2 linked regions of the Arabidopsis thaliana genome follow. The protein of the gene in region 1 interacts with the protein of each later gene in a pairwise test. Each region holds a gene or a part of one and is shown in the gene's direction. Other genes may lie near its edges. The genes, in order: AT4G09060 and ZML1.

What was found.
Region 2: the proteins of AT4G09060 (region 1) and ZML1 interact in a two-hybrid assay, tested with the Arabidopsis thaliana proteins (2 studies listed by BioGRID).

Annotation. Positions count from the first base shown.
Region 1 is NC_003075.7:5,785,187-5,802,255, reverse strand, and holds AT4G09060 (uncharacterized protein), read left to right. Parts: upstream 1-1,925; 5' UTR 1,926-2,002; coding exon 2,003-2,242; intron 2,243-2,330; coding exon 2,331-2,603; intron 2,604-3,183; coding exon 3,184-3,261; intron 3,262-3,791; coding exon 3,792-4,049; intron 4,050-4,118; coding exon 4,119-4,235; intron 4,236-4,337; coding exon 4,338-4,475; 3' UTR 4,476-4,597; downstream 4,598-17,069. Other genes in the region: AT4G09040 (RNA-binding (RRM/RBD/RNP motifs) family protein), read left to right, coding at 4,941-5,312, 5,407-5,505, 6,298-6,588, 7,029-7,181; AGP10 (arabinogalactan protein 10), read right to left, coding at 9,624-10,007; ISA3 (isoamylase 3), read right to left, coding at 13,417-13,527, 13,599-13,710, 13,806-13,867, 13,944-14,042, 14,128-14,232, 14,315-14,394, 14,498-14,570, 14,647-14,736 and 11 more.
Region 2 is NC_003074.8:7,414,872-7,431,725, forward strand, and holds ZML1 (ZIM-like 1), read left to right. Parts: upstream 1-7,164; 5' UTR 7,165-7,350; intron 7,351-7,950; 5' UTR 7,951-7,960; coding exon 7,961-8,254; intron 8,255-8,370; coding exon 8,371-8,463; intron 8,464-8,536; coding exon 8,537-8,670; intron 8,671-8,758; coding exon 8,759-8,890; coding exon of another isoform or gene 8,891-8,894; exon of another isoform or gene 8,895-9,261; coding exon 9,262-9,367; intron 9,368-9,494; coding exon 9,495-9,566; intron 9,567-9,664; coding exon 9,665-9,727; 3' UTR 9,728-10,034; downstream 10,035-16,854. Other genes in the region: MNS2 (alpha-mannosidase 2), read right to left, coding at 111-212, 305-413, 608-673, 772-896, 1,130-1,219, 1,666-1,837, 1,987-2,052, 2,386-2,498 and 3 more; AT3G21170 (F-box/associated interaction domain protein), read left to right, coding at 5,102-6,289; ACA9 (autoinhibited Ca(2+)-ATPase 9), read left to right, coding at 10,899-11,201, 11,298-11,337, 11,425-11,537, 11,608-11,739, 11,834-11,923, 12,008-12,077, 12,186-12,256, 12,336-12,419 and 23 more. UniProt on the Arabidopsis thaliana protein: Transcriptional activator that specifically binds 5'-GATA-3' or 5'-GAT-3' motifs within gene promoters.

The DNA of each region.
Region 1 (17,069 bases):
ATCTCTATTAATTTACAATAATACACAAACAATAATATCTTATATAATATAGTTGTATTCAGATATATAATTTACCAAAAAACAAAATGATAAAACTTTACAATAAAGCAAAAAATTATTTAATCAAAAAATACTTTTTGATAGAATTTCAATCAGTGTTCATAAGGAAAATACATTTAAATGCTCAAATGGAGTTCATTTTTTTAATCATTTCTTTCATTTGAAATAGAACGTGGTCTATATGGAAAGGAAAATTTATTTTTAAAAGTAATTTACAGACCAAAAATAATACATATGCATCAACTTTGGAATCATAATACAAATTTCATTTTTTAATAAATAATTATAACATAGAGAATAATTAGATATTTTAGTGCATGTGCACAATTACATAAGTGTACTCACCCTTATCAAGATAAAAGGGAAGAAAATATAAATTCTTATAAGAAAAAAATAAAGTAACTTTTGACTTTAAATAAAAAGGAAACAAATCTAAGAAATTAATGTTATAATTAAATTATTTACCAAAATTAATTGAAAAATAAGAAACATTTTTTTACAAAAACTAAAGAAATTCATTAGATCTGCTATGAGTATCCGTTTGGGATCACACGTTCTGTGATAGTAGTAGATCGACAACAGATTAACTAAACGAATCAAATATGAAATATATCACTTCTTGAATACAATCTAAATATAAAATTCATACATCTCGGATAAACAACTCAATTCTGCTTCTAAGTATATTTAGTTTATAAAACGATGCTTTTTATCTTTATCTTATCTAAATCATTTTAAAAAGATGAGTTGAAGGCATAGTAAAGACTTTTAGGCTTAATAATCATCGAGCCATAAAAACAAAATACAAGATTAGATTGCGAGAAACACTTACCGATGAAAGAGATTTCTGGTGATGATCTTCTTGGGAATACGTAGTATAACGAAAAATTAAGACTCGTACACTGCATTATATAGAGAAAAGCATAGGAGTTTGTTTGTTTTACTAAGATAAAACGACCTCGTTTAAACTACCTCATTTAAAACGACTTCGTGTAAAATTATGTGTTTCTTAAAATGACCTTGTTTTTAAAAAGGTTTTCTTAGGAAATGAGTGGTGAAAACATGAATGAATCTAACCGAACTTATCCAAATTCGAATAATACTAATAGTTTAAAATCTTATAAATAGAATTATTGGAACTGAACCTTAAATCAAATTTAAATTTTATGAAACTGAACAAAATTAACTGAACGAATCAAAATTCCTAATGTATATATCTCATCTAATCATCTAAATAAAAATAAAGGTTTGATTCATGTTTCTTCTCATCTTTCGTTCATTTTTTATGCATAGTCATGAAACATTAAGGTTTCATTCCACCCAATGATATAATTTTTTTTTATCCTAGTACACTCAAAAAATGAAAAATTTATATAGAAATAAATTGGAAATTGATACAATTATATAATTGAATGATACGCTTTTGCTTAATACTAGTCAAGATGAAAAAATAAAAATAAACCAATAAAAAAAATTGAGCTGAAAATAGAGGAAAAATAATTACTTAGTTGATAATTATTTGTTTGATATAATGACATTAAATTGTAATTTTAGGTAATCACTTTTTGTTGATATTTAAAATACGTTTTTAAACAAAAACAAAACCGAAATAAAAAACCAACTCGAACAAAAACCGAATTGTGTCAAACCGAACAGAGAAAAAAAAAAGTTTTCCACAAGTAAAACCGACAAAATAAACCAAACCGGATCCCAAAAACCATAACCAAAAAATTGCATTAGGAGCCAAATATTTCCGCCACTTAAAACATGCCACGTAGGCACGAATCGATCGATGCAATAACTTTTGTAACGGCTACAAACTTCTGATTTCATTTTTGAAATTCTTCTCTTCCGTCTCTTTTACTAATTCCCCTTTCTTCTTCTTCCTATTGAAACCCTAAATTCTCTTCTTGAAATCCAAATCTTGTTTCAAGAGTAAACCATGCGGAGCGAGAGAATTGATTCAGATGAAGCAGAAACAAAATCGAGAACAAATCTCTCGCAAGAAGTCGAAGAATATATCAAAGATACAATTGATCATTCTTTAGGTCTTCCGATCTCCATGGAATCTCTTCAGAAGAAGCTTTATACGGCTGAAGAATCTCAACGCCGTCTTCGCGAACAGTATCAGGGTCTGATTTCGCGATTAAAGGAGAAAGATCATGTAATCGATCGTGTTAGGGTTAGTAATTTCTTTCTGGGTATCTTTCGTTTTCTGGGATTTGATTGATTTGAATCTGAATCTTTTTTTTTTTTTTTTTTTTTATAAGTCTGAAGCGAGTATGAATGCGCAAGCGTTGAAGAAGTTTGTTGAAGAGAATCAGAAATTGGCTAGTGAGTGTGGGAATTTGTTGAGTCAGTGTAAGAAATTGGAGAAAGAGTGTTTGCTTTATCATCAAGATCGTGATGCGTTGATGGAGTTTGGGAATGAATCTGATGAGAGAGCTAGAGAAGCAGAAGCTAGGGTTCGTGAATTGGAGGATGAAATTGGAAGAATGTCTGAGGAAATGCAGAGATTTAAGCGTCAAATCGGAGATGGTGAAGTAAGAGTTTCTTCATATTAACCCTAAATTTTCTTTAATTGGGTTAAGTTGGGTTTAGAATTGCATTGCCCTCGAGTAAATTAGTTTGCTTTTTGCACTTGCTGGTTTATAGTTTGGTTAGCTTGTTCTTGATGAAATGGTTACTCAAGTGCTATTGTCTTCTCTCTACTCTTTAATTAGCACATGGGGTACCATCATTTGGTTTTCTTTGTTAAGTTGACAACTTGATTTATCTAAGTTCTCATGAAGTTTGACTTCTCATTGAGTCTCTTTGCAGAAAAGTCATAGAATGGTAGATATGATGCACTTGAGAGAGAGACTATGCTAGTCCACATTAAGTTTCTCTTAGTACTATGAAATATAAAATGTCCTTCCATATCGCTTTTCTCGCTGAAGGTGATAACTTGAGGTGGATATCAAATGGGTTTGTCATATATCCTCTATTGTTAGTTGTTTTCAATAGCCTGAGGTGGATAAAGGTAGTTGATAAGTTTTTGGTTGTCTATGTGCTTCAGAGATTGCTTGTTCCATCCAATGTTTAATGGTACTAATACGAGGTGCATATTTATCAAACAAATAGAAATTAGAAAGATCTGTTAGAGTCAACATTAGTAAGAAAATGTATCTATTAGCTGCTACTTATAATCATTTCAATATAGTTTCTTTGTGGTCTGACAGAACTCTGTATTATCATTTCATAAGTATCCATGTTGTGTTCCTTTGCAGAAAGTCTTACAATTGTTGATATTATCCAGTAGATGCACTTAATAGAGAGACTCTAATGGTAGTCCACATTATGTTTCTGGTTTTTATAATTGTCAGTCCATATCGTTTTGCTTTCTGAGGGTAATAAAACTTTGGATTCTTCTGATATATCAAATGGGTTTTTCATATTATTCATATATACAGTATTGTTAGGCGTTTTTGATAGCTTGAGGTGGATAAAGGCTGTTGATAAGTGTTTGATTGTCTATGATGCTTGAGAGATTGCTTGTTCCATCCATGATTTATCTTTCTGTATCCTTGAGATGTAGCATATTTTATCAAACAAATGAAGATTAGAAAGATCTGTTAGTGTCAACATTAGTCAGAAGATGTATCTATTAGTTGCTACTTTTCATCATTTCAGCTGGAAACATAGTATCTTTGTGTTCTGACAGAAGTCTGTATTTTCATTTCTCTCTAAAGGTTGAAAACTGTACTACACCGTTAGAAGAAGATTTGCTTGATTCAGTTTTGGGATCACTCATAAGCAAAGATGAAACTATAATGGGGCGTCTCTTCTTGGAGGCAAACATCCACGACCAATCGTGCCAAGCCTTGCTGAGCAAGTGGGATCACTTAAAGCCTTCAACGCAAAAGGTTCTTTCTTTAGTTTCAAAGGCAAAGAAATTCGAAAAGGAAAAAGAATGCATCATCATGAATCTCGCTAAAGCTGAGCAAGAGGTAATAATCATAAACGATAACACTCTATTGTTCTTAAATGATTCCACTTGACTCACAAACTTTTTACAGGTGGAACTTGTGAGCACGCTAAACCGAAAGCTGGATAAAGAAAATCGTAAGTTGCTAAGGCAACAACAAAGCCCTCTTTGCTCCGCAGACAAGAACCGAAACAGCGCATCTGCAAAGGTAAAAGTACCACAAAAAGAAAGAAGTAAACACTGCGAAGGAAAAAGCAGCTATGTGGACTCTCTCTTTGATTCTAACTTAGGAGTGTTGTTCTGTTTGCAGTCAAACAAGAGAAAGAGTCCGAAGACGATGAGTAGCCCGGTCGAGAAGAGGCTTGAGTTTAGCAGTCCAGAAATTAGCAGGAAGCCTCTATCACCTGTATGGAATAACTCACCAGATTCTAAGATGAACAACAATTGATGATAAACAAAATCAAACAACTATCTGTATCATTCATATGTGAAACCGGATTATATTGTTGCTTCTCTGAAGCTACTAACAACATGTATCAGTATTGCTATGAACAAATTTGACCAGAAAATCATGTTTTCAAACTGGTAAATAACTAGCTTATTATATACAACAGCAGTGTAAAACTGACATAGCTTACTAAACACTGGTGTTTAACATTTCTTACAAAAACGCAACCGTTTTCGGTAACCTACAACGACGTCGTTGCGTCTACAAGAACAGTGAAATTTATACAAACGTTGTCGTTTTCAAGTACATTTTCTAAACGACGTCATTGCTTCTACAACAAACAGTGAGAATCATGAAACACGTCGTTTTAAAACTAAGAACGACGTCGTTAGTCTATTCCAACACAATAAATGTGAAATTGCGTTGCTTTTCGATTTCTTCTTCTTATCCAAAACTCTCTCAGTCATGGCTCTTCTTCGTCTTCCTGGCATTTCCCTCCAAATTCTAGGTCACAAATCAAACCAGAAGAACCCTAATCCCAATGTTGCCTTCACCAATCACTCTCTCTCTTTATCTACTCCTTCACTATGTCGTCTCCATCGTCACGCGACGTTTCCAGACTCAATTCCAGCAAAATCCAGAAACCTCACTTCGTACTTCTCCACCACAACACAAGAGCCAGTCCTCGAATCTTCTTCTTCTTCTTCTTCAGCTCCTGAGGTAGTAGAAGAAGAGATTTCTAAAACCAGATTGATTGCTCAGAATGTTCCATGGACATCTACACCTGAAGATATTAGATCGTTGTTCGAGAAGTACGGGAGTGTTATCGACATTGAGGTTTTTGGTTTTTCTCGTTTCCTTCTTTTGAAATCGATGAATTGAATCTTTTGTGTTTTGGTTTAACGAATTGTGTTTGATTTTTGATTTGTAGATGTCTATGCATAAGAAGGAAAGAAATAGAGGTTTGGTGTTCATTGAAATGGCTTCTCCTGAAGAAGCTGCAACAGCTCTTAAATCTCTTGAATCGTGTGTAAGTACAACGCTTCCTACATGTCTATATTGGAATACTATCATTGAGATTTGGTTGCGTTATGTTTCATATTATCTGGCTTTACGATTAGTAGAAGTTATACATTGTGCTTATTGGGCTCTTTTATGTTGCAGTTATCTCAATTTGATTGATTATTGTATGTAAGAACATTGCAATTCGCTTCCTCCATCTCTAAGTTAGCACAGAATCATTGAGATATTTCTCTCATTTACATTACTTTATGAGTAGTGGAAGTGTACATTATGTTATTAGACTCTTTCAGGTTGCAGTATCCCGTGTAAACAATAGATTTTTCTGGCCTAAAACTTGATGGAGCAAAATTTTCTCTTACTTAGTCTGATTGACTTTGTTGTTTTTCGGTCGATGCTCTCATTTGGTTGTGTTTGTCTCATTCTATTTGCCTTTATGTTAGAAGATGTTGTAGTGGTAGTACACCAATCGTATCATACGTTAGTAGAAGTTGTAGTTCTATTAGGTTTGGTTTTCATTGAAATGGCTTCCCCTGAAGAAGCTTCTACAGCTTTCATATCTCTTGAATCCTATGTAAGAATATTGCATTCATCGCTTCTTTTATGTCTAAATTGGCATATAATTGTTGAGATTTTGCTGTGCTTGTCTCATTTTTATCTGTCTTTTAGATTAGCAGCTGCTGTACATTGTGTTAATAGACCTTTTCATGTTGCAGCATCCCAATTTGATTGATTTGTGTTTTTTTTGTACCTGGTCTTTCTTTGATTTTCATCTGCCATTTAATTGTGTATTGTTGTTTAGGAATATGAGGGTCGTCGTTTGAAGGTAGACTATGCAAAGACCAAAAAGAAGAAGACATATGCGCCGCGTGAGACGCCTTCACCAGTGCCTACATTCAATTTGTTTGTTGCAAACTTGGCATTTGAAGCAAGGGCCAAGCATCTTAAGGAGTTCTTTGATGCAGACACTGGTAATGTTGTCTCCACTGAAGTTATATTCCATGAAAATCCAAGGAGGTCGAGTGGTTACGGGTTTGTCTCTTTCAAAACCAAGAAACAGGCCGAGGCAGCGCTTATTGAGTTCCAAGGAAAGGTAAATCCAAGCTATTCTAAATGATAATGATCTAATCATAATTTAAAGCATTCTAGGCTTATCAGTTATGTTAATTTTGAGCAAAGTTGAAGCTCATTATTACCGTCTGATATAGTTATTGAATGGAATAAAAAATACAAGAGAGTGTTTATGTTTTGGTTTATTTGGGTATGTTGCTGATACCATTTGAGCTTAGGGACCATAGATGGACCCGTAAACCGATTTTTCTAGTCTTTAGACTCTTAATGCATCAATGAGACAAAAATATAAATGGGTTTCTCTGAGCCATTATGTGGGTAGATACTAGACACTTTAAGAGTATATGGACCATAATCCCAGAATTGTAGAACAGAAAGATTTATGACATGTTTCTAATACCAGCTCTAGAATATGAGCTGATTAAGTTGGTGGAATTGACTGTGTGAAATGAACATACGCAGGATTTTTTGGGAAGGCCAATCCGATTAGCTAAAAGCAAACAGTTTGTGAAGTTGCAAGCAAAAGAAGGGTTGCAGCCACCAGAGGAGGAAGCAGAGGAGGAACCATCTCAGTCTGAGACAATGACCCAAGAGCACGAAACTCCGGCTGCATAAAACTTAGAAGGTAGTAAAAGCTTAATCCTGGCTCTGTTGTATCATCAACTTTAAACTCTGAATTAATCGAATCCGTATATATACTTAGTCTTCGTTGCAGGATCATTGTTGGAGATATTGGAATTGACGAAGAAGCTTCGAGCTTTTAGGTCTTTATTCTTCTTAGTTTTTGACCAACAAGAGGAGTGGGTACATACAAGTAGTACCTACCTTGAGTAAATGGTGGAGAGGTAAGAAGTACAAGACCGATTTTGTTAGAACTGAAAACTAGTAAGAGACAGGTATTACCAAACGTCAGTATCAGACCAGATCAAATCTCAAGAAACAAACTCATGTGGCTCCTACGAAACTTGCTTTGTTCAGTTAAACACAATGCTTCTTTGTTTGTCATCTACTTTCGATTACTTGTTTGCGTTTGTTATATGCTTAGTGTGTAACTTCATATATGAACCCGTACTCTTAAGAAAGTTATGTTAGTAATTTGTAAAACGCAAATTAAAATTACTTTAATAGCTAGGTTTCTATTTATAAAAGCCAAAACACAAAAGGTTTTGGGATTAGTTTGAATTTTGATTTAAGACATTGTATAAGCTGTGGAGAGGGAACAATCCTCCGGCTTCATTGTAACACCTACAAGTCCTTAGACCGCTTCTTAGGATAGATTAACACTAAAACCTGAAACTGCCTCCTTTCTTTTTCTTTTTCTCCACACACCTTTTATATTAAGTTATCGGGAAGAAACTATCCGCTAGAGAGAGCCATTTAGGAACCGATGTGCTTATATGGGGAAAAAGACTATTTCGAGCCTGAGCGTTTTTAGCTAAACAATCTGCTCGAGTATTAGAAATACGTGAAAAAAATCTAATATGGAAAAAAGAGAAAAAACAAACTAAAGATCGATAGGAAGCTAATTCCACTGCGAATGTCGGTCAATCGTCTTGATTGTTAAAGATAGAAATCAGGTCTGAACAGTGTGAAACAAAAATACCAGAAGTGTCGCCAATAAAGATCATGCATTCCGTTAGATTTCTTGCTTGAGACTTTGTCCTTTTCGCGCGGCAACAACACTATGGTTCAGTTAGATATCACCTCGAGCATTTGGTACTAAAGTACTAATTCAAAAAAGGCTTCTTGTACTTTGTCTTCCATTCTTTTTCTTTATATATAAAATTTTATGTGGTACGTTTTAAAGGTTATTAATGGCTAAAGAATAAATGACATTGGTATATGAAAAAGGACAAATTGTGGCTACTTTTCATTTTCGTTGAGTTGGAATATTAAGGAGGGAATGAAAATGAATCAGAATTCACAGCTAATGAATGCAAATGCTCTCCAGCCTTTCCCTTTAAAAAGGAACAATTTCTTCAACTTTCTTTTTACCTTTTTTTCTCTTTATCCTCCTTTTGTGCAAAAACCTAAAAAGACTTGAGAGTTCTTTTCGATTTATGTTAACAAAAAAACGATAGTATATCTTCTTCGTCTAACTTTTATAGCAAACGCATTGATTTAATTAAACTTTTTCATAATTTTAAGTAACTTATAGTATTGAGTATAATATTTTGTCACGCCACCTTTAACCTAAAATGGTTACTATAAATATAATACGTAGGAAAGCCCACATGGCTGAGCCAATGAAAGAATCCTGAAAAATGCTTTATATGTATTCTTACAGCTGTCTCCACGTGACAAAACCTACTCTTACCTTTCTCACCAAACCAAAGACTTTTTTAATTCGATTTTTCAATTCTAAACGCCATTAGTCTCGTTAATATTACATACTTTTCAATCTTCGTTATCCAATCTCATTTATATCGTTTAGCTCAAATAAAAGTGTAAAAAAAAGAGATGAAGAATCAGACAGAAAACCAAACAGCTGTTTTTTCGCCACTACCAATAAAACGACAAATTCACCGTTCTTATATACGTCGACACGTGTCTTTACACACGCACACGTTTGCTGACCTCATCAGTCATCACTAATCACCTTCTATTTCACTAACCACTTAACCCCACCCATTTCGAATTCCACAAGGCTTCACTAAATCAATTAATTCAAATCCATACGGACTTTGAAATACCATAATAAAACATTAGTGATAAGAATTTCTCTTCTTTCTTCTTTTTAATACCAAAATTTTTTGAACTAAAACATGTAATCCTCCCAAATCCGAAACATATAATATTAGTTTTGTAGTAAACGTCACAAACCGACGATCTTTAAACTTCGTATAGAATCTTTACCGATTAAACTAACGATATACCAGAAAGTGTTTACTAAAGACTATAATAAAAAACACATATGATTAATGATTTAATTCTATCGTCCAAACGCTAACTCAATTCTTAATACAACATAAAACCAAAGATTAAAAATAACACGAACAAAAAAATCCTTAAATAGAAAAACACTATCTCAATAGATGATTCTAAAATATAACCAAATTACAGTAACAAAGAAGCGACGAATACAAATCCGGCTAAAGATCCAGCAGCGAGAGTGGCGGCGTTGTTGTTATCGACGGGAGTGGATCCAGTCGGACCAGCGACAGGTGCACCATCAGGAGTGAGAGAAGTTGGAGGAGCGGGTGGTGAAGCGGAGGAGGGAAGTGGTGAACCAGCCGGAGGAGAAACTGGAGCCGCCGTGGGAGTAGCGGATGGTGTTGGAGTTGGAGTTGGTGTGATTGAAGGAGTTGGTGCGGCGGTTCTTGGAGGTTGAGCAGGAGATGGAAGAGGAGATCTTGTTGGAGCTGGTCCTGGAGCTTGAGCTATGGCTGATGAAGCTATGAGAGCGAGGAAGAGCAAAACGACGACGGATTTTGAAGCCATAGTTTTCGTAGTTTGAGAGAAGTGAAGGATCTTGTTTCGAGCAGAGAGGAGGAGGAGACGAAGAGGGTTTATATAAGAGAAGAGAATCGATGTTTCTTCGAAATTACACGAAGACGTGTAAATGTTTTTTGTTTTATTTATAAAGAAGTCCCTAGAGTTTCTCTTTATTACACTTTGGATCTGATTTGTTTTGTTTTTTAAAATTAAGAAGTTACATGAGCTCTAACAAAGTTTTGCACTTTTCTATATGAAAGCAACATAAAGACAAATCGAATTTTGTTTCATATCCAAACATGTGTTCGAAAATTTTGAATTTTTGGATGATGAACTGATAAATGTACGTTAGAGAAAAGGAGCCAAGAAATGGAAAAAATGTCAATTAATCCCTCAACTTTTTAAAAATGGCCATTTTATACATCAACTTCGTATGCGGCCGTTTAAAACATGAACTAAACGTTGATTAAATTTTAAAACATGATTATTCGTTGACCAGGCCAAAATAGACATGCCGCTATCAGTCATTAACGGAACTTTTAACGTTCGTTATCATCCGTTAACGACTTTATTAGTCAAGTTTTAAATTGTGGTCATTTTAAACATCGACTTTATATGTGGCCATTTTAAACATGAACTAAGCGTTGACTACCATTTAAAACATGAGAAATTCGATGACCAAGCCAAAATAAACATGTTGTCATCATTCATTAAAAGAACTTATAACATTCATTATCACTTGTTAACGACTCTATTAGTATCCCTAAAACGACTTTGTTTTGAGAATAACCAAAAGAAAATCAGGATTGTTTTCTAAATGAAACTCCAGTTCCCCAAATCTATTTCTACAACCGCTCAAACAAGACGAACAATCTTATAATGAGTCTTCAATTTGCTTCCATGATTCCTTTTAAAATTTAAAACAAATATATAAACGAAAACACTTTTATTTGCTTCCAATTACTGGCACTGTGATTATCTCTATATCAAACTATGGGTTCTGCTTAAAACTTTTTGATATGGAGATTTTATATGGGAAAAATCTTTATGTTCTTTCGATTATTCTCAAACGACGTTGTTTTGGACAGATTAACAGTCATTAACGGTTTCTAGGTTCTACTGATAAAGACATGTCTATTTTGGCTTGGTCAACAAATTTTTCATGTCTTAAATGGTAGTCAACGTTTAGTTCATGTTTTAAATGGCCACATAAAAAGTTGATGTTTAAAATGACCACAATTTGAAACTTGACTAATAAAGTTAACGGATGATAACGGACGTTAGAAATTCCGTTAATGACTGATAACGGCATGTCTATTTTGGCCTGGTCAACGAAAGATCATGTTTTAAAAATTAGTCAACGTTTAGTTCATGTTTTAAACGGCCACATACGAAGTTGATATATAAAATGACCATTTTTTAAAAGTTGGGAGATTAAATGACATTTTTCCCGACAAGAAATGTACACTATGTATAATTTTTTTCCTTCTTTTGGGCATAATTTTTGTTGGCAAAAAGTTTTGCATTAAAAAAAAAATTACAATGTGAAATTGAATTTTTGTTGTTGATAAACCTGCCAACATATTTTTGTCTATATCTTACACCTACAATTATCAATACTATGTCAATTATTCTGCTATTGGTAAGTTGTTAAACGAAAAAATCTACTGAAGTAAGTGATAAAGTAAATAATTTGGAATTTCAGTAAACTACTTGATAGCCGTAACCACCCAACTTGCTCCAAACCTTTTCTTACATGCATATTAAAAATGTCAAAATGGGTAAACCAATCTGACCCAACCCGACCTAAATTCATATAGATTCGAGTGTTTAATGGATGGGTTTGGGAGATCTAGTACAAAGTAAAGCTTGAACATGCTTAGGAAAAAGTCGACTCCGCTGTTTGTTAAGAACACGAGAATCAATACTGAAATATAATTTTGAAACAGTAAAACCTATGGATAACCCATGACTCTAATAAGTTTTGCCCATTAAACTTATAATCCTATTAGTTTTAATCTATTAAAACTCCTTTATATATATGGGTAAAATATTTTTACTTAAACCAATTAACATTATTGACGAGTTCGAGTAATCCATGAATGTTGACTTATTTTGACACTCCTAAATTGCATACTCTAATGGATTTGTTTGAAGACTGTTATTGTGGAAACGTAGATATGATTAGGAAAGTCGAGGTAATTAATTATTTTCATCTGATAAGTGATACGTACACGTATCATTAAAACAACTATGGAAACAAATGGAGATAAAAATATGAGCCATGGATTTGGCTAGGTCGTCGACCACCGACCCAACACCAACTACGCGTTGTTGCCAAAGCCTGCCCTAACCACGTGAATTAAAAGGTTTCAAAGATTAATCAAATTTTAAAATTAATTAATGTGACCTAAACTTTCACTTATCATTATGATTAGTGACTAACACGCGGTTGTGTTTTCCATTCGTCTTGTAAATTCTTATATTTATTTAACTTTTTGACTCTACGATCGAAGCATCTCTTTTCATTATTCGTTTTAAAAATGGATTTTTTTGGAGTATTATTTTACGTTTTAACGTAACGTTTCAATAATTGGAACCTCGGATTCTCTTGAGTTTAGAACGATCTTGAATTGTTTACTAACAATAAGAAAAGGTTTGGATTAGAAGAAAAAATAGTTTGGATTCTTCGAAGATGACAATATCAATGTGGTAAGTAGGTGGTGAGTCACCTTAAGTTGAAAGACAGAAATGGGGTGACTTCTTTTATTATTATTCACAATTTGTTATAAAAACAAATCCTATATAAAAAATTTTGACAAATTTTATCACATTTTGTGGAGGATATGGTTTGAAGCTTGAATAAATTCAAAATTCTGTTGAAATGTGTTTTTCGATAATGTCAAATGTACTAAATCTTGCAGATCAAATACTATGGACTATTTAAACTCGATTATGAAGTAAGGGTTGTAAAACCCAAAATCATTAAGATTTATGATATTTATTTAGATTATCAAATTTTACATGATTTTTTTTATTTTTGTCAGACATTTATACTAAAATACTAAATTGACTCAAATAAGCCAATGTTGAAGGACATTGTTGACATAGTTGATAGGATGTGGATGGGTAAAAACTCTTCGCGCCAGATTATCCACTTTTACATTATATAGATAATACATTTAACTAAAATTAAGTTAATAATATCACTACATATATTTCGTATTTCCATGATTAGAAAAAAATGTACCATTGCTCTAAATATATCTTTATTTGTGATTGGAAATGTCGTACATTTTATTATTTTACATGTAATCAACTTTTACAAGAGACTCATGGAGTCATGGATCTTTTTTACTCATAACTCATAAACCTTATTTTTCCTCTACCGTGCGTTATCGTGTGAGTGCTTATCTTACTTGGACTGGAGAAGGATTGAAGAGAATGGGGCCACATTGTAGGTATCAGCCACACCGGCCACACCTTCCCTCACAAAATCATCCGGCGACTCGAGGTTTGTGTCAGCCTGCGGAAACATGACATTGAATCAGTCATAGAATTAGAGAACCAAAGAAGACAAAAGAAAGAAAGACTGACCACACGGAACCATTGTTTTCCCGGTGGTGGCTGTGGAATCAGAGCCTTGACAAAGTAGTCGTGGGCGTTGAATGCCACATAGATGTCACGGCCACCTATACCGTCATGGAGACTGCAAGAAGAGTCACTTATTAATCTGAAATCTGATAACTCTGTAGAGTACTATAACACAGTTAGGTAAGAAACTTTGGGACTTTTGTGTCTTACGTGAAAGCTAGGAACTTGCTCTCACTGTTGTCCCAATTATCTTCATGCCATGTAATCTCACCCTTTAGACAATCATTGAAAATTAGAGTAGCACTCAAAAATCCAAGGAATAGATGAAACCAAGAGGAAGTTAGTTACTTGGGTGAGGAAATTTTCATGCTTGAGTACATGGTGTGAATGTCGGAACTTGATCACCTCCGAGAAAAACCTGAAATGGTTCTGCTTCTTTGCGTCGAGCTGGATTTAATAAGAAAAAATGATTTCAGTTCATGGAGGAATCCGTAGTAAACAGGGAAGACAAAACGCGAGGCGTAAGACTTGCCTCTTTCCACTGGAAATTGTTAAGGGAGGTATCATGTCCGTAGCTATTGTTGTTACCATACCGTGTATGTCCATATTCGTCTCCCATTAGCATCATTGGTGTTCCCTGATCATTGATCACCATCGGTTTCATATGCATTTAGAATTTTAGACAGTATTTAAACGAGTGTATGTTGGCAAATACGCACCTGAGAAATCATCAAAGCTAAATGAAAGTTCTTCATTTGCCGAGTACGTAAAGATTTGATGTGAGCATCACCAGTTTCCCCTGTCAATAAACAGATTATTAAACTTGAATGCTGTAATAAGAATATTATACAGAGAAACGATCAATGCTTGAATATTGTGAAGCGAGACTCTTTTAATTGTACCTTCAAAACCACAGTTCCAGCTATGATTGTCATTACATCCATCATTTCCTCCTTCTCCATTGGCCTCATTGTGCTATCATACAGAAGAGATACATAAAGCGCTGACTCATTCATGTTTTAAAATCAATACATTGGAAATCAAAAAGTACCTTAAAGTTGTACGATACAAGATCTCGCAATGTGAATCCATCATGTGCGATCACAAAATTTACACCATGGTAAGGCTTCCTCTGGTTAACCTATATAAGAGAAGAGGGAAAGTGCGATGATATCATTAAACCTACTTGGATTCTACTGCAGTTAATGCATCTAAGTGTTCACTGAATAAAGTTCAGAATGAATACAAAATATAATAACCTGGTAAAGATCGGAAGATCCAGAAACCCGAGTAGCAAAGCTTCCTTTCATGCCACTGTCACCCTAACAATGTGGAAGATTAGAGTGCATCTGCAATAAGTCATGCCTTTCCAAAGATCAGGTGAAAAAGACTCCAATGTTGAATACCTTGATAAATCTTCTAACATCATCCCGGTACATCCCATTCCACTCAGCCCACCTGACTTGGGAAAAATCCACCAGTAGCCATACCAGTTACACAAAGTTAATAACCACAGAACTTTGGAAGGAACTACAATGTATAGTACTATTGGGAGTCATCAACTTAAGCTAGTTATGAAGCTAAAACGGTTACCTATCCCAATTTGGAAACTTCCCGACTAGATATAATCCTCCACAATCCCAAGGCTCTGCAATTATTTTACATCTTGACAGAACAGAATCCTTGGCAATTGCCTGATTCAATAAGAAATTACAAAATGAACATTATGGCACAAGATTTTCTATTTTATTTTCTGAATATGCAAGCACAATGCATTAAAACCTACCCTTATCAGTGGGGGAGCACTGAGTGGAGATCCATCTGTTGCTCGGCAAAGCACACTAGCAAGATCAAACCGGAAACCATCCACGTGATATTCAGTGACCCTGCGGTTAAGTAAAGAGAAGAAAGCAGAACCAGAATGATTAACTATGTGAAGTAACCACAATGACTGTCAAGAAGATAGAAAAATCAACAAGCAATTCTTTCATATCAGTGTCATGTCCAGGATAAACTGCAAGATATTTGGTCCAATTAGTTACAGTGGCTGCTAACATAGATTTTGTCCATACCAGTGCCTTAAGCTATCAAGTATGAGTTCCATAACAACTGGATGGTTACAGTTCAGTGTATTCCCTGGAGACAGAAAGCAAAAGAAACGTTGAGCACACATACTACAGCAAACTGTAAACCAAACTTTCATTTCAAGTACGGAATTTTTGAAAAGTAAAGTCTGCAATATAAACTTTAAATTACCACAGCCAGAAAAGTTAAGCAGTTGGTTGTTTGGATCAAGCATGTAATAAACCTGCATAATAGATCTCACTGTTTAGAGTTTTAAGATAAGAAAATAAATAAACCGACATGAATGTTAATCCTCTTATGACTCACCTTGTTGTCTATGCCACGAAATGAAGTGGTATAAGGGTATTTGTCATCTGCTTCGTTGGTGTGATTATAAACTACGTCCAAAATGACCTGCAGAGAAAACTTGTAAGAATACTTCTGAAGAATAATCAATTACAATAAAAAGTTCAACAAGGAACAAACTGCATCGACCCCAAGAAAACGGAGCAATACAAGGGAATTGCTACCTCTATACCAGCAGAATGCAAGGCTTTGACCATTTCTTTAAACTCTTTCGAAGCTTTAATAGGGTCTCCCTCACCACTAGCATATCGGCTCATCGGAGCAAAAAAGTTAACTGTCGAGTAACCCCATGTGTTAACCTAGTAAAAAGAAAAATCTCTTTCAGGTATGGGAAGCACTGAAACTTCCATTCATGGAGACTCAAGTTAAATTGAAAAGGGAAGAATTTTATAGCTACCATTGCGATAAGACCTGCAAGAAATATTATAAGCACACAGAAATGTAAATTGCTGATTCGTGATTACCATGTGATCCCTAGGGTTAGAACGCCTCTGAAGCTCCAGTTCATCAAACTCAAACACTGGCAATAATTCCACTGCATTTATACCCAGATCTTGAAGGTGTGGGATCTTAAGAAAAAAAAAAGAGAGTGAGCTATAAAAGAAGCTTTGTACATATACAGGCAGATGTATCCTCAATATCTATCATAATAAGCTTTTTCACACTTTTAACGTTTTTGGTAAATGACTCCTGCTAACAACCCTTGTGCAGTAAGCATGAATGTGCAGTAATTTCAGCATCTCAACACATATGTTTTAAGTAGAATACAATCACCTTCTCAATGAAACCGAGGTAACTGCCTCCTATAGCTGGGTCCATCCCACTGGATTCATCAGCAGTAAAAGCACGAACATTCATTTCATAAATAACAAGATCCTTCTGCAAAACAGTAGCAGCTGATTACAAAACTGAAACAAAATAAGGGAGAAACCATAAATGCTGCAGGAATACAAATTCCATATTCAAAGTCGGAATCGTGCAACAACTAGCTGAAGGAAACAAATGCAATTTTTACCTCAGGTATGTTAGGAAACTTGTAGTCAT
Region 2 (16,854 bases), on another chromosome or scaffold:
TAAAGGCTATATCTCAGCAGCCTAAATCAGAAAAGCAGAGAGCGAAAAATTCGAAAGATCTGAAGCACTTACGACGCTATGATCAAAGATCATTCAAGTCATAAGTTTACCTCTTCAGCGAGTGTGAGAAACTTCTTTCCTTCAGCAGGATCACTATACCCAGATGCTCCTAAAGCCAACATTCCAGGAGCAAAGCATGCCAATTCATCCATCTTAATATATATGAGAAATAATGAGATTGGAAATGCCAGGCGATGAAGAATTTTCACGTAATACAATGGAAACAATGAACAGATGGGTTTACCTTATCGATCAAAGAATTTCCACTCTTCTCACAGATATATGTAAACGACAAAGGTGTTGATTTCTTAACCAAGCTTAGCAGACCATTCATTGACTTCTCCCACATATCTCTGATGCCAAGATGTCAAGTAATAACAGTACAAATTATTATTGTTCGGCTAAAGATGTTGAAACTAAAAGACCAGAAAAGAAAAGAAGAACATAGATATCAAGCAGAAAGATAAATGTGATGGCAGCTGGTTGAACTTAGCGGACTTGAATCAATCAGACATATATACACTCAGTAGACTAGAGTTAAACTTACCTATAGTGTTTCACTGCTGAAGTTTTGTTCCCAAACACCCAAACTTTGAGCAAATATTCGTAAAAGCTGTACACAAAATATTAGCCGTCACAAATCAAACCAAAGCAGAACCAGAAGGGATCAGACTAGCAGTAATATAAAATGCAATCAAGTTGGAAAAACACCTGTCTCCCATGGCACCAAATGTTATTGTAGACTGCGATGGATTAGCTGTATCGGGATTTATATATATCGGAAGTAAACCATCAGCAGGGAAGTTCTTATTTAGCACTGAAATAACCTTTTCTACCTGAGACACGAGTTAACAGGTCAACCATTGAGGTGCAATTTGTTTACACCGAATTATGACAACATGCATCCAGACATTTTGCCAACTTTAATACCTAATCAGTATATAATACAACAGAATAAGCTAAGAAATATGTATTCCATTCACTGGTTTATAGATATAACAAATTCGCTGATAAGCAGATGGATATGTAATAAGTCAGCAGTGCTACAAGTTACGGAGAGTAATTGCACCTTTTGCTGATATTTTGGGTCCCCTGTCCTCTGGGAAAGGGCAATAAATTCAAGCTGCTCAGTACCAGAATCTGCAAGAATACTGTCTCCCTAAAACAAGAAAGAAGTAAACAATCAACTAAACCGAAAGACATATGTAAATAGATCAGATGGTACCCATTCCACATTAAACATGAGCTTGCTAGTGAAACAATACCTAGTTGATAAAGAATCTTTACTTTCATCATGATCTTTACAACTAAACTCTAAAACAGTGTAGACACAAACAGAATACTAATTGTCACATAACTTGAAAAACAGAACAGTTCGTTCCTGGCGAGCCCTGAAACATCTAAGAAAACGACTGGAACTTAAATCTCAATTTTTCAGTGGCCTCTTAGGAGCTCCTTTAGAAACATGTTCAGGACCCTAGTGGCGACTATCTCGATAAAGTTTTGCACGCATATGAAAATCTGGGCGAGAAAAGAAGAGAAAATGTATATCCAATGCCTAAAGCTTTGAAAAGATCGACAAGGAATATGACAGATAGGACTTACCCCCGCCCATGTAGGATTGTGAGCATTTCCATGCTTCAAGTTGATAATATTATATGGTATACCCGATTGAGTGTCCCATGCAGGCAATAATCTGTCTGCAATATCCATAGCCTTTTCAAGGAAAATTTTATCCCCAGAAAGATCATACGCACTGAGAAGCCCTCCTACCACTCTGAAAGCCAACAAAGAGAAAATATATAAGCACAGATGCCACACTTCCATACCACATATTTTGTTAACTACACACAACAGATAACCTAAACAAGATGACTCTTCTTAGTACATGTAGAAAAAAAACATGGTAAACCTGTTAAATGCAACCTTATGGTTGTCTCAAACATACTGGCAGCATAATCCTTGTCGAAATCTAATGAGCTTGCTACCCACCTGAAAATGAAAGACAATAAGTAAATGAAGGCTGGGAAAGATGAACAGGAAAAGTTGGGAATCGAACTTCAGTTAATGGAGAAGAAAACAATATTATTTATAGGAGGTTGCAGTTTTAGCCAGAAATATTTAATGTTTTCTATATAATCTTGAAACAGTTTAAAAGTGAACATTGCACAACAGATACATTACAAAGACGATTCAATAGCCTTTTCCATTTCATTTTCTTCACTACTTATATTTTTCTCAATAAGATGAGACAAGCCTGTTTAGAACAAGTCAAGCCAGAAAGAATCTTCCTAAAAAAGGCTAGGATGGAAGAAATCTACTCACTCTCTGGCTTTCTGAAACTGCTCATCTAGACCCATTATATATAGTGTGTCTAATGCATCTATCATAGTTGCACCCAGGCCACCAAAGCTGTCAACACCATCCTTTGTCTGGGGCTGATAATGCAAAAAAAAAAGTTACACAAATAGCTTCACAGAAATATATTTATCGCAAGTAGAAAGTGTTCTCATTTTAACTAGTTAAACAACCCAATTATTCTCTGAACAATGGTGAACGTTAACATAAGCTGTCAGCATTGTAGCTAACCATACAAAGATAAAACTGTACCTGAAGCTCATCTTGTCCCCAGGCATACTTTTCATATGAACTCCAAGCATGAACCATTGCCTCTTTAACTCTCTGCATTCGCTGAGCATCAACTGGATCTTCCTGAACATCCTTCAAACTATTGACAGACACATCCTCAGTGACGCTCTTTATCTCTTCCAACTAGCAGAAAACACAACAAAATTTAAGATCATTATAAAAAATCTCATAACTTTCTCAAGATTTAAAAACTCATAGTAAATCAAATTCTTGCAAGACCACGAGACGCGTAATGCCACATCAATATCAGCCACTGTGTAATTAAGCAAATGCAAAAAAAGGAGGAAACTTTGGGTATAATCAAAGCCTCATAGGGAAAAGAAATAAATAACTTACCATCTGCTGCAACCGCAAAACTTCTTCATTTAACTTGGAAACTTCAAACTGCAAAAAGTCAGCATACATTATAAACACACATATGTGAAAGAAAAATCCTATCTTCACATAACACAGAGACTCTCCTTTATCCAAAGATTGAATTTTGATTTCCTCTACAGCCCAGTATAAACAATTTCATAAAGTCTAGACCTTTAGCTGCCTACTTTAACAGATTCGATTAGCGCCTCTCATCAATTCAATAACGTACCTGGTAGTCTCGGGAAAGAGATTGACGATCCCAAACAACCATTGAAACAGAGACGAAGAGGATGATGAGCAAAGCAAGACGTCTTGGTCTTCGGAGATAAAACGCTGGGTTGAAATATTTCCATATCCCATGACTACCACTTACAAGTTTATTCCTCGCCATCTCAATTCCGACGATCAGATCTGATCTCGGAGGTGACAAATTTTTGAAAAAGGAGAAGAAGAAGAAATTGAAACCATGAATTAAAAAGAGAGGAAGAGATCGGATCAGAGTAAAGAGAGGGAATGATCCGGTTTAAATCAGTTGGTTTGGGTTTGGTTGGTTATTGGTTTTGGATTTTGGTTTACTTAAAAGGAAAAAGTGAAAAACAAAAAGTAATTTATTGTTTTAGAAGAGGCCCAAATTTAATCTAGGACGAAGCCCACAGTAAAAGCATGCGTTGTGACGTCACATGAATGAGAATAAGTTTTAGGTCCAAGAACTTCCATCCCAAGTTATCTGAAAACATGCTTTTAGAGATGATGAAGAACAGAAGAAGGGAAACATTGTACATCTTCCGGACCGGAGGATTTGGTTGTGGAGATACTCACTAGGGTTCCGGTGGTATCTCTGAAACAATTGCGATCAACACCCAAAGGGTGGAACGCTCTTATCAAAGATGGACTCTGCTTAGACACAACGGCAGTCTCCTCTGGTTATCAAGTTGATTGATTATAGGGTTTAATTAGTGAGTCTCGATCTCCATGGAATTGTGACAAGGTGTCTTGGAGAAGGCAAAAAGGTAAGTACCAGACCAGAGCTAGTGTCTTGAAACAGTTGAAAGTCACAACAAATAGTTGTGTAATGTTGGTTTTCTTTTGTGAAGGAAGCATACATATTTCTTTTATAACACCATGACCAGTGAAACACTTGGTGGGTCTATGAATGATCCTAATTATCACATTGGCTTTGCGTCTTTTGTGTAATTTGATATGGTTATAGAGTTGCATGTCACATAGGTTTCATTGACTCGGAAGATGATATTTTCTGGATAGGTTTTGGTTCCTGGCCTCATTTACATTTTGATCAAAAATCTTGGTTTTCAAGGATATACTAGTTTGTAAAATTTCATAAGGCCAATTTTATTTTACAAGTGCCTTGGGACTATAGGTAGATAGATTCAGGTACATTAGCAAATGCAAAATGAGAATTGATTTATCAAACTTTTAGTGAAATACACATTTTAATTTATTAGTCTATTAAATATGTAAGTATGATGACTTCATGAAAAATTAAAGGAGTAGGGCAGAGATATATAATGTTCAAAGATATAACCCCACAAGTCAATTATTACTTAGAAGCATTTTGAGTTATACAATAGAAATATATTAAGTATATATATGATCTTCCCATATTTATTGAGTAAGTAAAAAGAAAAAAAATGATCTTCCCATATTTATATAAAATTATTTACATTTAATTTTAATTGAATATGCTTTTAATGTTACAAAATTATAACCACAGAAATAGAAAAAATTAATAATGATAAATAAATGTTGAGAAAAAAGAAAGATAGTAAGAATTAAATTTAGGAAAAAAAGAAGTTAAAAATCTGTGTGGACAAAAAGAAAAAATCTCCATATTTATTAGTGTAAAGGATAAAATAAAAGACAATTACGTGATCTCCTCCTTCCTATATATATAAATGATCTTCCCATATTTATAGAGTAAATCAAAGAAAAAAAAAGAAGAAGATTAAAAATCTTGATTCTATCGTCTCTCCATCTTGATTCTTTGAAAATTGGTTTAATCACAGTCGTGTGAGAGATGATGACGTTCAACGACCTTCCGGAGGATTTGGTAGTGGAGATACTCTCTAGAGTTCCGGCTGTATTTCTAGCACGATTACGATCAACATCCAAACGATGGAACACTTTGATCAAAGATGGGAAACTTTCTAAGAAGCACTCTTCTAATGCTCCAAGGCACTCTATGGCTCTCGTGTTGATTGATCATAAGGTTTATTCAGTGAGATCCAATCTCCGTGGAATTCACAATAGCGTTGCTCCATATGTTAACATAACATGTCATTTTAGCCTAAAAGAACATCTTTCTAATAATTATTCAACAGAAGTCGATATAGGCCACGTCTTTCACTGCGATGGCTTATTGCTATGCACCACCAAGGACTATAGACTGGTGGTTTGGAATCCGCTTTCAGGTGAAACAAGGTGGATTCAACCAAGATTTTGCTACAAGAAAGATGACTGCTATGCTCTCGGTAGATCCTCTTGCAACAAGTACAAAATCTTGAGGCAGGGTCGTCTTATCAATCCTAGCGAAGAACGTTACGTGTACAACATCGTGGGGGAGGATCTTGTTATCAACAATAGCCAAGAACGTTACGAGTACGAAATCTATGACTTTAACTCTAATTCGTGGAGGAGTATTGGTGTGATCACCGGCTTGTTCAATCCAAATATCACCAGTGGCGTGTCTGTAAATGGAATCACTTACTGGTTTGATATTAGTGAACAATTCTTACTAAGTTTTGATTTCTCAACAGAGAGATTTGGAAGTGAGTCTCTCCCAGAGGGTGATAGTCATTTGGCTTTATCAGTGACTAGACAAGGGAAACGACTTTGTATGTTATCTACTAATTACACATACGTAACCGGAACAAACGTTAACTTATGGATAGCAACGAAGACTAGTGAGAACACCAGAGCAATGTCATGGAGCAAGTTCCCAATACTGCGGGGCGGAGTTGGTCTACGCTATCGTTGTCATTTTAGGGAAGGGGTGAGTTTCTTCGCATACCAAGTTAAGGAGAAGATTGTTGTAGTTTCTTGTCATAGACCCAACCGGCACTCCAAGGACATCATACACATTGTGGAAAATGATAAATTCATAGAATTGGATCATCATGGTGCAAAACCTACACATGAATTATCTCCTACCCCACGTCTCCTCATATATGTTCCAAGTTTGGTTCAAATTCAACATGGTATTTAGTTCTTTGGAGGAGGCACCAAGTCAGCCAGTGCATGGCCTTGTAATTGTCACACTAGTCTATGCATTATCTAATCTAACTCTTGATATTTTATAAGTAAGATATATGTACGCATTTCTAAGTTATAACTTGTTGCTACCCTTTTGCTAGTGGATAATTCGAGGCACATGGCATTTTCATAATTGGTCAATTAGTTATTAAGTACCAAAATTTTGAAAAGGAAAAAAATTAGAAATGCTTAGAACATATTAGAGCAAAACATATGTAAATTTTGTGCAAGAATAAGGGAAAAGCAAATAAAATCAAAATAAAATTGTATATTGTGGAATTAAGAAATGAAAGAGGAACGCAATTTAGTTTTAAAATCTGACATATTAGATATAGTTGAGTCAATTGTTTTCCACCGAAGAATTGGTTGTGGTTCCATCTAACTTAAGATATTTTGTGTTAAGATGGTTTATTTGTAGAGATATATTATAATTATATATGATTTCTAACCAAAACAACAAGAAGTTTTTAAAGATGGGTACAAATTGAATTAACTAATGTAATTCCACATTGTCATTTGGTAAAAGAAAGATATCTTGACAAAAGAGATTAAAAGAATTATGTGAAAAACCTTGGCGACCTTAAACCATCTCCAATGTCTTTATATCTTTGGCATCATTAAGAGTAAATGTGTATCTTGATCAAACCTGAAACCACTAAAGAAAAACATATGAACTCAAATAGAGGCCAATTAAAGATGAGGTCCAAAGAATAGGGAGTGTCAAGCCTTTCACAAAGACGACGCCGTTTGGCTAAAAAAGGCCCAAGATCACAACGACGACGTTTGCTGAAGAAAAATGAAAAATCTTTCACTACAATCATTAGACCAAAAAAGAAAAAAAAAATCAAAGGAGCTTCCTTTTTTCGCTCTCGTCTCCGTTTACCCTTTTGGGATTTTTCCCTAAACCTTTTTCTCTCTTTGTATAATCAAATCCTCTTTATCTTTCATTGTTTCGCGTGAATTAGCTCTGCAAAGGCTCTTCATTCTTCTCGCTTGGATTCCTCTGCACAAAAGGTACCCATTTGATGTCAATTTTGGTTTATTGTTTTGATTGCCCTGTCCAAGTGACAAGTCTTTGTATGTATGATATAGGTAGTGGGTTCTAGTTTGTAGATGAACTTGTCGAATTTGGAGGGTTTTTAGTTGGAAGCATTTATATGTGGGATTTGGAATTGTTCTGTCTATTTGTTCTTAGCTTAAAGGTTGGGACTTAGCTTAGGACTTATGAGCATGAGAGAAGGAGACTTTTTTTCCAATTCGAATCTGATTGATGAAACTTTTTTTACTGGATTTGGGTAGATATTGTTACGTTTTAAGGTAGTTGACTGTTGTTAGTTGTTGTTTACTCGAGATTAGATTATTGTCATCTACTCTTGTTATAAAAGAAGCTCCTTTGTACTATATCAGTGCTGATAACTATTAATGAAGTTCCTTTCCCTTAGGTGGAGATAGTTTCTTTGTATTTGCAAACTCAATTTATGTGAGAATATATCCACCATTATTGAGTTTCTTCAACCTATACCGTCTCTGACAATCTCGCTTTTTCGTTATTAAGAACGTTCCAGTCTTAATTAATGTTATCTTCCTTTGGATGTAATTGGTAACAAATTGCAGAAAAAAGACCATGGATGATCTTCATGGAAGAAATGGTCGAATGCACATTGGTGTAGCGCAAAATCCAATGCATGTGCAGTATGAAGATCACGGTTTGCACCATATCGACAATGAAAACAGTATGATGGATGACCATGCTGATGGTGGGATGGATGAAGGAGTGGAGACAGACATTCCTTCTCACCCTGGAAACTCAGCTGATAATCGTGGTGAAGTTGTAGACCGTGGAATTGAAAATGGAGATCAATTGACATTGTCCTTCCAGGGACAAGTTTATGTTTTTGACCGTGTCTCGCCTGAGAAGGTAACTTTAAGTTAATTTTGGTTCTTTGATGTTTTAGTTTTGGATACATATGGTCAACGTATCCACCTGGTTGGTTTTGTTTTTCGCTTATTGAAGTGCTGCTCAATATTATGCAGGTTCAAGCTGTGCTTTTGTTACTTGGTGGAAGGGAAGTACCACATACACTCCCAACAACCCTAGGATCACCTCATCAGAACAATAGGGTACTGGTAATAAAAGATTTAATACCATATGGGAAATCAGTTTATTCCCCAGTTTGTTGCTGACTAATAAATGAACCAGGGTCTATCTGGTACTCCTCAACGGCTTAGCGTTCCGCAGCGGTTAGCTTCTTTGCTCAGGTTTAGGGAGAAACGAAAAGGGAGGAACTTTGATAAGACTATTCGCTATACAGTCAGGAAAGAAGTAGCCTTGAGGTACGTTTATGTCAAGTACTAGCTTTTGTGTATGTCGAGCTTTTGAGATACGTCTGTTTTGCAATTAAGGTTTTGTTTGTTCATGCAGAATGCAGCGTAAGAAAGGTCAGTTCACGTCGGCTAAATCAAGCAATGATGATTCTGGATCCACTGGATCGGATTGGGGGTCAAACCAGAGCTGGGCCGTAGAAGGGACTGAGACTCAGAAGCCAGAGGTTTTGTAAGTTGAAAATGCTTTAAATTTCTTACAACAGTTATATTAACTTTAGTGAACTCGTTATAAAACCTCAATTAAGTCTAATACATGGAAACAATTTATTTGGTAACCATTTAATGACGCTCTTTTCACTTCCATAAACTTTGTCTATATACGTCAACTCTGAAATTTATAGTTATACTTATCATGATGGCATCACTCATTCGATACCTGCAACTGATAACTTATACTTGTGAGAGGATAAAAATAACTGAACCGACTATGTTGTTGCATGTTAAGTCATTGTAGTTGATATGAACTTATTTATAGCTTGGTATACTTGGAAAGCTTGTCTCTGTTCTTATTCTTCGTCAAATGGTTGTGAACATGTTAAGATGTCGACACTGTGGAACAAGTGAGAAGTCAACTCCAATGATGCGACGTGGACCTGATGGGCCAAGAACACTTTGTAATGCGTGTGGACTGATGTGGGCAAACAAGGTAAGCTAAGAGTTTCTTAGTTCACATTGATCACCTCGTCTCGTATCACTTTTTTGACTCATTGATCAGGCCTATATATCCGAGTATGAACCTAACAATAACATTCCCTTTGACTTTATAATATCAGGGGACTCTTAGAGACCTATCCAAAGTCCCTCCTCCGCAAACACCTCAGCATCTATCTCTGAATAAGAATGAGGTGAGCCGTGAGCGCAGTATTTCATAGAGCTGGAGTTTTGATTTGCTTATTAAGAGAACATACATTCATTTTTTTTTTCTCAATCACTTTTGTTGCAGGACGCAAATCTTGAGGCTGATCAAATGATGGAAGTAACTGGTGACATTAGCAACACACAGTGAGAACTGAGAAACCATTGGAAGCAAGAAAGGATCTCAAACAAAAACAGTTGTTATCATTTCATTTGATGATGGAATCGAATCTGAGTTGTGTTTAGGGTTTCTCTGGGTTAATCTCAGTCTATGTGGGCACATTTTAGTCTTCTACAAATTATAAGACACTCTTCACTTATTTAGAAGCTCACTCATCAGAAAAGAAAAAAAAAACTTTGCTCAGTCTCTCATCTGTGTGTTTGATTATATTTTCAGGCAGAAAACTTTTTTTTGTTCTTGTATTTGATTACAATTAGTTAAATATTTAAGACTTAGTAGAGATAATGCAATCTATGTATAAAAATAGAAACAATGATTGGTTATGTCGTGCAACCCAAGTGACCTTAATGTCGTACACACGTTCATCAGGTTAAAACGAAATTTCTCAGCAACTTCACTATTCTCTCTGTCACATTGTTTTATTCTTTTCCATTATCTTTATTGGAAACTTGATTAGAAAGAACTGATTAAGGTATGAAGATAATTAGTGTACCATTCTTCACATGATACGAGGTGAACAATAGTATATCAGAATACTAGAATAATTTTATAAGTTATAAAGATGAATGGTATACCACTTATTACAAAACGAAAACATAGTTAGATCTGAGAAGAAGGAAAGATTTTTGTTTTAAAAAATGAGATGGTTAGATATATGCCATGTTAAGAGATGCCACCATGTTCTTCTTCTTCTTCTTACCCGGAAAAAACTCTTTCTTCTTCTCTTTCCCATAAAAAGAAACAAAAAAAAACTAACTTCCCACAAATTTTGCCAAACCAAACCAAAAATAGTAATGATCTCATTCAATTTGAACCCTCTCTCCATTTTCTTTCATAGTTTTTTTTTAGGGTAAATCAAAATATTAATGTTGGTTAGAAACTCAAAAATTAGTTTCTCTTTTTTTTCTCTGTGATTGACAGAGAGGTAAGAGAAAAAAAAGAGAGAAAGTGTTTCGGTTTTTGTTGCCTTCTCTCGAGTTAGGCCTTCTCTCTTCCGTCACACCATCATTTTTTTTCTCCATAACGACCAAATCATAAAACCGGTCGTTCCTATTTTTTCTTTCTCTGCGTTTTTTGTTTCGAATTCTTCAATAGAATTTTAAAAGAAAGAAGAAAGCTGGGTGAGACGAAGGAAGGAAGAATGAGCACTTCGTCGAGCAACGGATTGCTTCTGACGTCAATGTCAGGACGTCATGACGACATGGAAGCTGGTTCTGCTAAAACTGAAGAACATTCTGATCATGAAGAGCTTCAACATGATCCTGATGATCCTTTTGATATTGATAACACCAAGAACGCTTCTGTTGAATCTCTTCGTCGTTGGAGACAAGCCGCTCTTGTGTTGAACGCATCGCGTCGGTTTCGATACACTTTGGATCTTAATAAAGAAGAACATTATGATAATCGAAGGAGGATGATCAGAGCTCATGCTCAAGTCATTAGGGTATGTATTTTCTTTATATAATTCTTCCTATCATTTCAACAACAATGTTGTTTGTTTAATTGAATCTCACATCGATAAATCACTTTTATGAATCAGGCAGCATTGCTTTTTAAACTGGCTGGTGAACAACAAATTGGTATGATCTCTTATAAGTCAAGCAAATCTCTGTTTTGTTTTCTGGTTTCTTGTTGAATAATCTTTAGTTTCTTTTGGTATCAATTAGCGTTTGGATCATCAACACCAGCAGCTTCTACTGGTAACTTTGACATTGATCTTGAAAAGCTTGTGTCTATGACAAGGAACCAGAACATGTCCAATTTGCAGCAATATGGAGGGGTATGATTCAAGACTCACACATTCCATAAATAGGAAGGTTTCTTGATGCTGACATTAATATATCTTTCAGGTCAAAGGTGTTGCAGAGAAGTTGAAGTCAAATATGGAACAAGGAATCAATGAGGATGAGAAAGAGGTGATAGATAGGAAGAATGCTTTTGGATCTAACACTTACCCAAAAAAGAAGGGGAAAAACTTTTTTGTAAGCAAAGAGTCTTTTACAACTTCTTCGACCGTGTTTTTATCGGTTTGTGGATACTCATATGTTTTTTTTCAACTTTCTGTTTGTCCAAAAGATGTTCCTCTGGGAAGCTTGGCAAGATTTAACTCTCATCATCTTGATCATAGCGGCTGTAACATCATTGGCATTGGGAATAAAGACAGAGGTATACATGCTTTCCTTTCGATAAGTTCTTAGTTTTTCGAAATCAGGAATGTACTAATTTTCTGTCTTATTACTTCATGATCAGGGTTTGAAAGAAGGTTGGCTTGATGGTGGAAGCATTGCCTTTGCGGTTTTGCTTGTCATTGTTGTTACAGGTATATACATGTTTCTTTCTGTGATAAATTCTTGAAAACATTCTCAATCTTGCTCTTAATCCATTTAAGATAAATCTTTCTTTACACTTTATCTTTTGATTGTTTCAGCTGTTAGTGACTATCGCCAATCTCTCCAGTTTCAAAACCTCAACGATGAAAAAAGAAATATACAACTAGAGGTGCTTGCTTTAACATCTTAGTTTGTTTTGCAATTACATGTTTTTGAGCTGAAGATTAAATAAACGAAAACTCTTACAGGTCATGAGAGGAGGGAGAACAGTGAAGATATCAATCTATGACGTTGTTGTCGGAGATGTTATACCTCTTAGGATAGGTGACCAGGTAGGTATACTTTGTCTTTATATTCCATCTAATGGCTTCAGAGTTAAATGACTATATGGCCTTATTTATTGTTGTATTCATATAGGTCCCTGCGGATGGAGTGCTAATTAGTGGTCATTCTCTTGCTATTGATGAATCTAGCATGACCGGTGAAAGCAAGATTGTGAGTTCATTATGGTTCTGCTTGTGCAATTTTTATGGTCATCTTCCCTTTCTATTTGCTAACACAGACCTTTGTTTGCAGGTTCACAAGGATCAAAAATCCCCTTTTCTAATGTCTGGCTGTAAAGTAGCTGACGGAGTCGGTAACATGCTGGTAAATCTTTGAAACTTTTGTCCTGTTCTTAGTTCTGTTTTCACATAGTTGTTCATACTTCCTAGTAGTTATTCTTTGTGAGTGTTTCAATAGGTTACTGGTGTTGGAATCAACACTGAGTGGGGATTGTTGATGGCAAGTATCTCAGAAGATACTGGTGAAGAAACTCCATTGCAGGTATATCATCTTGATCACTTAAGGTCTCCACAATGTGTTGAAGAAGGCTAACATTTCCTTTTGGTAATCTTGTAACAGGTGAGGTTAAATGGTCTTGCAACCTTCATAGGGATAGTGGGGCTCTCAGTGGCTCTTGTTGTCCTGGTGGCTCTTCTTGTGAGGTAATTTCATTTACCTTGGTCAATAAATCTCTTGGCTTACAAATTCATGCCATGTTGAGGGCTATAACCATTGAGTTTTTTCAGATATTTTACCGGAACTACTCAAGATACTAATGGAGCGACCCAGTTTATCAAAGGGACGACTAGTATCAGTGACATTGTAGATGATTGTGTAAAGATATTTACAATCGCCGTAAGTATTAGTTCCATATTTTTGATTATGTTATTCGATAGACATATCAGTTAACTCTGGCATTTGTTTAGGTGACAATTGTGGTTGTAGCAGTGCCTGAGGGACTTCCCCTAGCAGTTACCCTCACGTAAGTCGTACTTGATATAATCCACTCAGAAGATAACTAATTATCTACGTTTCAGGTGTTGATATACTTTTTCTTGACACCATATTTGCAGTTTGGCTTACTCAATGCGAAAGATGATGGCAGACAAAGCTTTGGTAAGAATCAGAAGGAGTGTTCTCGCTTTAGTTCTTTCTTCTTGGTTATTGTCTGACCATTTTTCTCAAATGCCAAACAGGTTAGAAGGCTTTCAGCTTGTGAAACCATGGGATCAGCAACAACAATCTGCAGTGACAAAACTGGAACTTTAACTTTGAATCAGGTTAGTATCCAGTAAAATGTGAGCTTCTTGACATGAAAACCATCATACCCTTCTAGATAGCTAACTTTACCCCTCACAAAAATACAGATGACTGTGGTTGAAACTTATGCTGGAGGATCAAAGATGGATGTAGCAGACAACCCTTCCGGTCTCCACCCTAAACTTGTTGCCTTAATAAGTGAGGGTGTTGCACAAAACACAACAGGAAACATTTTTCATCCCAAGGTAGTTTTTGTTACTCTGCTATTGTTGAACCTTCCTATGGATTTTCAAAGAGGAACAATGTTACTCTAAGCTCATCATGTTATCATGTAGTTATCAAATGATTGATGTTTAGTTGTCATGTTTGTTTTACTATAGGATGGTGGAGAGGTGGAGATTTCTGGATCTCCCACAGAGAAGGCTATTCTGTCTTGGGCTTATAAGGTATCAAATGTTTGTTTACCCTGGTCCATCTTTGACATATTCTTCCTCTGTATGAGCAATATATTTAAAGAAGTTGTTGTTGCAGTTGGGGATGAAGTTTGATACCATCAGGTCGGAGTCTGCTATCATCCATGCCTTCCCTTTCAATTCAGAGAAAAAGCGTGGTGGTGTTGCTGTGCTTCGAGTAATTTCTTTATCCTTTCTCCAATTTCAAAATACATAACCTTTTTTACTTTGGAGTCATTACAGTTAGCGGCTGCTTCAGTTAACCGCTATGTTCTGCTGAATTTTCAGTAACTAAACACATAAACATCTTCTCGTGAAGCTGATTATGTGTATGTTAATTCACTGCAGGGTGATTCTGAAGTTTTCATTCACTGGAAGGGAGCAGCAGAGATAGTTTTGGCTTGCTGTACACAATACATGGACTCAAATGGTACTCTGCAGTCCATTGAGAGCCAAAAGGTGAAGTGACAAAAAGAGTTTGAAATCAGAAAAATGGTGTTAAATTTTCACTTAGACATTCTCTGTTAGCCTAGGAAGACCAATTTTGTGACTATACTATGCATTTTCATCTCAAATTTCAAAACCATTTGTGTCTGCAAATTGTTTTACAGGAATTTTTCAGAGTTGCTATCGATAGCATGGCGAAAAATAGCTTGCGATGTGTTGCTATTGCATGCAGAACACAAGAGCTGAACCAAGTTCCCAAGGAACAAGAGGACTTGGATAAATGGGCTTTACCTGAAGATGAACTCATTTTGCTTGCTATCGTTGGCATAAAGGTAGGTATTCTGAAAAGTTTTGGTTTGTTTTATGTGTTCACTATGTGACGATTTTGCTCTCTTCCAAAATTTAAACCTATTGTTCTTTTGGTAACTTCTTTTGGTAACTTGTTACGCAATCTAGGATCCTTGTCGTCCCGGTGTCAGAGAAGCAGTGAGAATCTGTACCAGTGCTGGTGTTAAGGTAGACTCCTAGCCTCTTCGAAGTTTACAGTTATGCTTTCTAGTTTTCTATAGAGATTACATGAAATGATCATCTTGTTCATGATATAGGTACGAATGGTGACTGGTGACAATCTTCAAACAGCAAAAGCAATTGCTTTGGAGTGTGGTATACTTTCTTCAGATACAGAAGCTGTTGAGCCTACTATCATCGAAGGAAAAGTGTTCCGTGAGCTATCTGAGAAAGAGAGAGAACAAGTAGCCAAGAAAATAACGGTATGAAAATTAAACAGCCAAGGATCATATATACGACTTGGCGGCTGCTTGCTTTTTCAAACATTAACTTAGGTTGTGAAATGCAGGTGATGGGTAGGTCATCTCCTAACGACAAGCTCTTACTTGTTCAAGCACTACGGAAAAATGGAGATGTTGTTGCAGTCACTGGTGATGGTACTAATGATGCTCCTGCCCTCCATGAGGTTCTCTAACAATTCTACAGGTTATGTATTATGTGTTGTGTGTCATCTCCAAATCTGATTTTTCTTTTGTTGCTTTGGACTATAGGCAGATATAGGTCTCTCTATGGGTATATCAGGAACTGAAGTTGCAAAAGAGAGTTCTGACATCATTATTTTGGATGACAATTTTGCTTCAGTAGTAAAGGTTAGTCTACTACATCAAATATAGAAACATGTGATCTTCTACATTATCCTTCATCTTTATGCTTTTCTAATCAATAAACTCTGTTTACTCTTCCAGGTTGTTCGTTGGGGCCGTTCTGTGTATGCTAACATTCAGAAATTCATACAATTCCAGCTTACTGTGAATGTTGCCGCACTTATAATCAATGTTGTAGCAGCAATGTCTTCTGGTGACGTCCCTCTAAAGGCTGTACAGGTTAGTACCTTGATGCTTATTTGAATGGTTGAACTTTTAAGACAAGGATAAAAGATATAATGGTGTTCTTTGATGCAGCTGCTTTGGGTCAACCTTATCATGGATACTCTTGGAGCACTTGCACTAGCTACAGAGCCACCAACCGATCATCTTATGCATAGAACCCCTGTTGGAAGAAGGTATAAACATGTTGCACATGATGTTTTCCTCATACTTTTAGTGAAACAGAATAGTTATATTGTGGTTTCAGTCGTATGGTTCGTGATGGTTTGTTTCTTGATTTGCAGGGAACCTCTTATAACAAACATCATGTGGAGGAACTTGCTTGTTCAGGTGACTTGCTCAAAAACCAACTTGATTAATTATTTTACCAAATAATTTTACTAGCTTGCATGTGTCTGAAAATGAAATCTGGGGATGTTGCAGTCATTCTATCAAGTGGCTGTTCTCCTAGTTCTCAACTTTGCAGGCTTAAGCATTCTTGGCTTGAACCATGAAAACCATGCACATGCTGTGGAAGTGAAGAACACTATGATATTCAATGCCTTTGTCATGTGTCAAGTAAGCAAATCATCTCTTCTTTCATCTATATAGTCTTAAAAGATATGGAGTTGTTTTTAATCTTGCAAGTCTTCCAGATATTCAACGAGTTCAACGCAAGAAAACCTGATGAAATGAATGTATTCCGGGGAGTAAATAAGAACCCTCTCTTCGTAGCAATTGTTGGAGTCACTTTTATACTTCAGGTAAGACAATAACACAAAGCCACTTTAACCTTTTTCCTCTTTCTTGAGACTATGATAGTAAAATGCTTCTGGTTGAAAAATGCAGATCATCATCGTTACTTTCCTCGGAAAGTTTGCTCACACCGTTAGACTGGGATGGCAGTTATG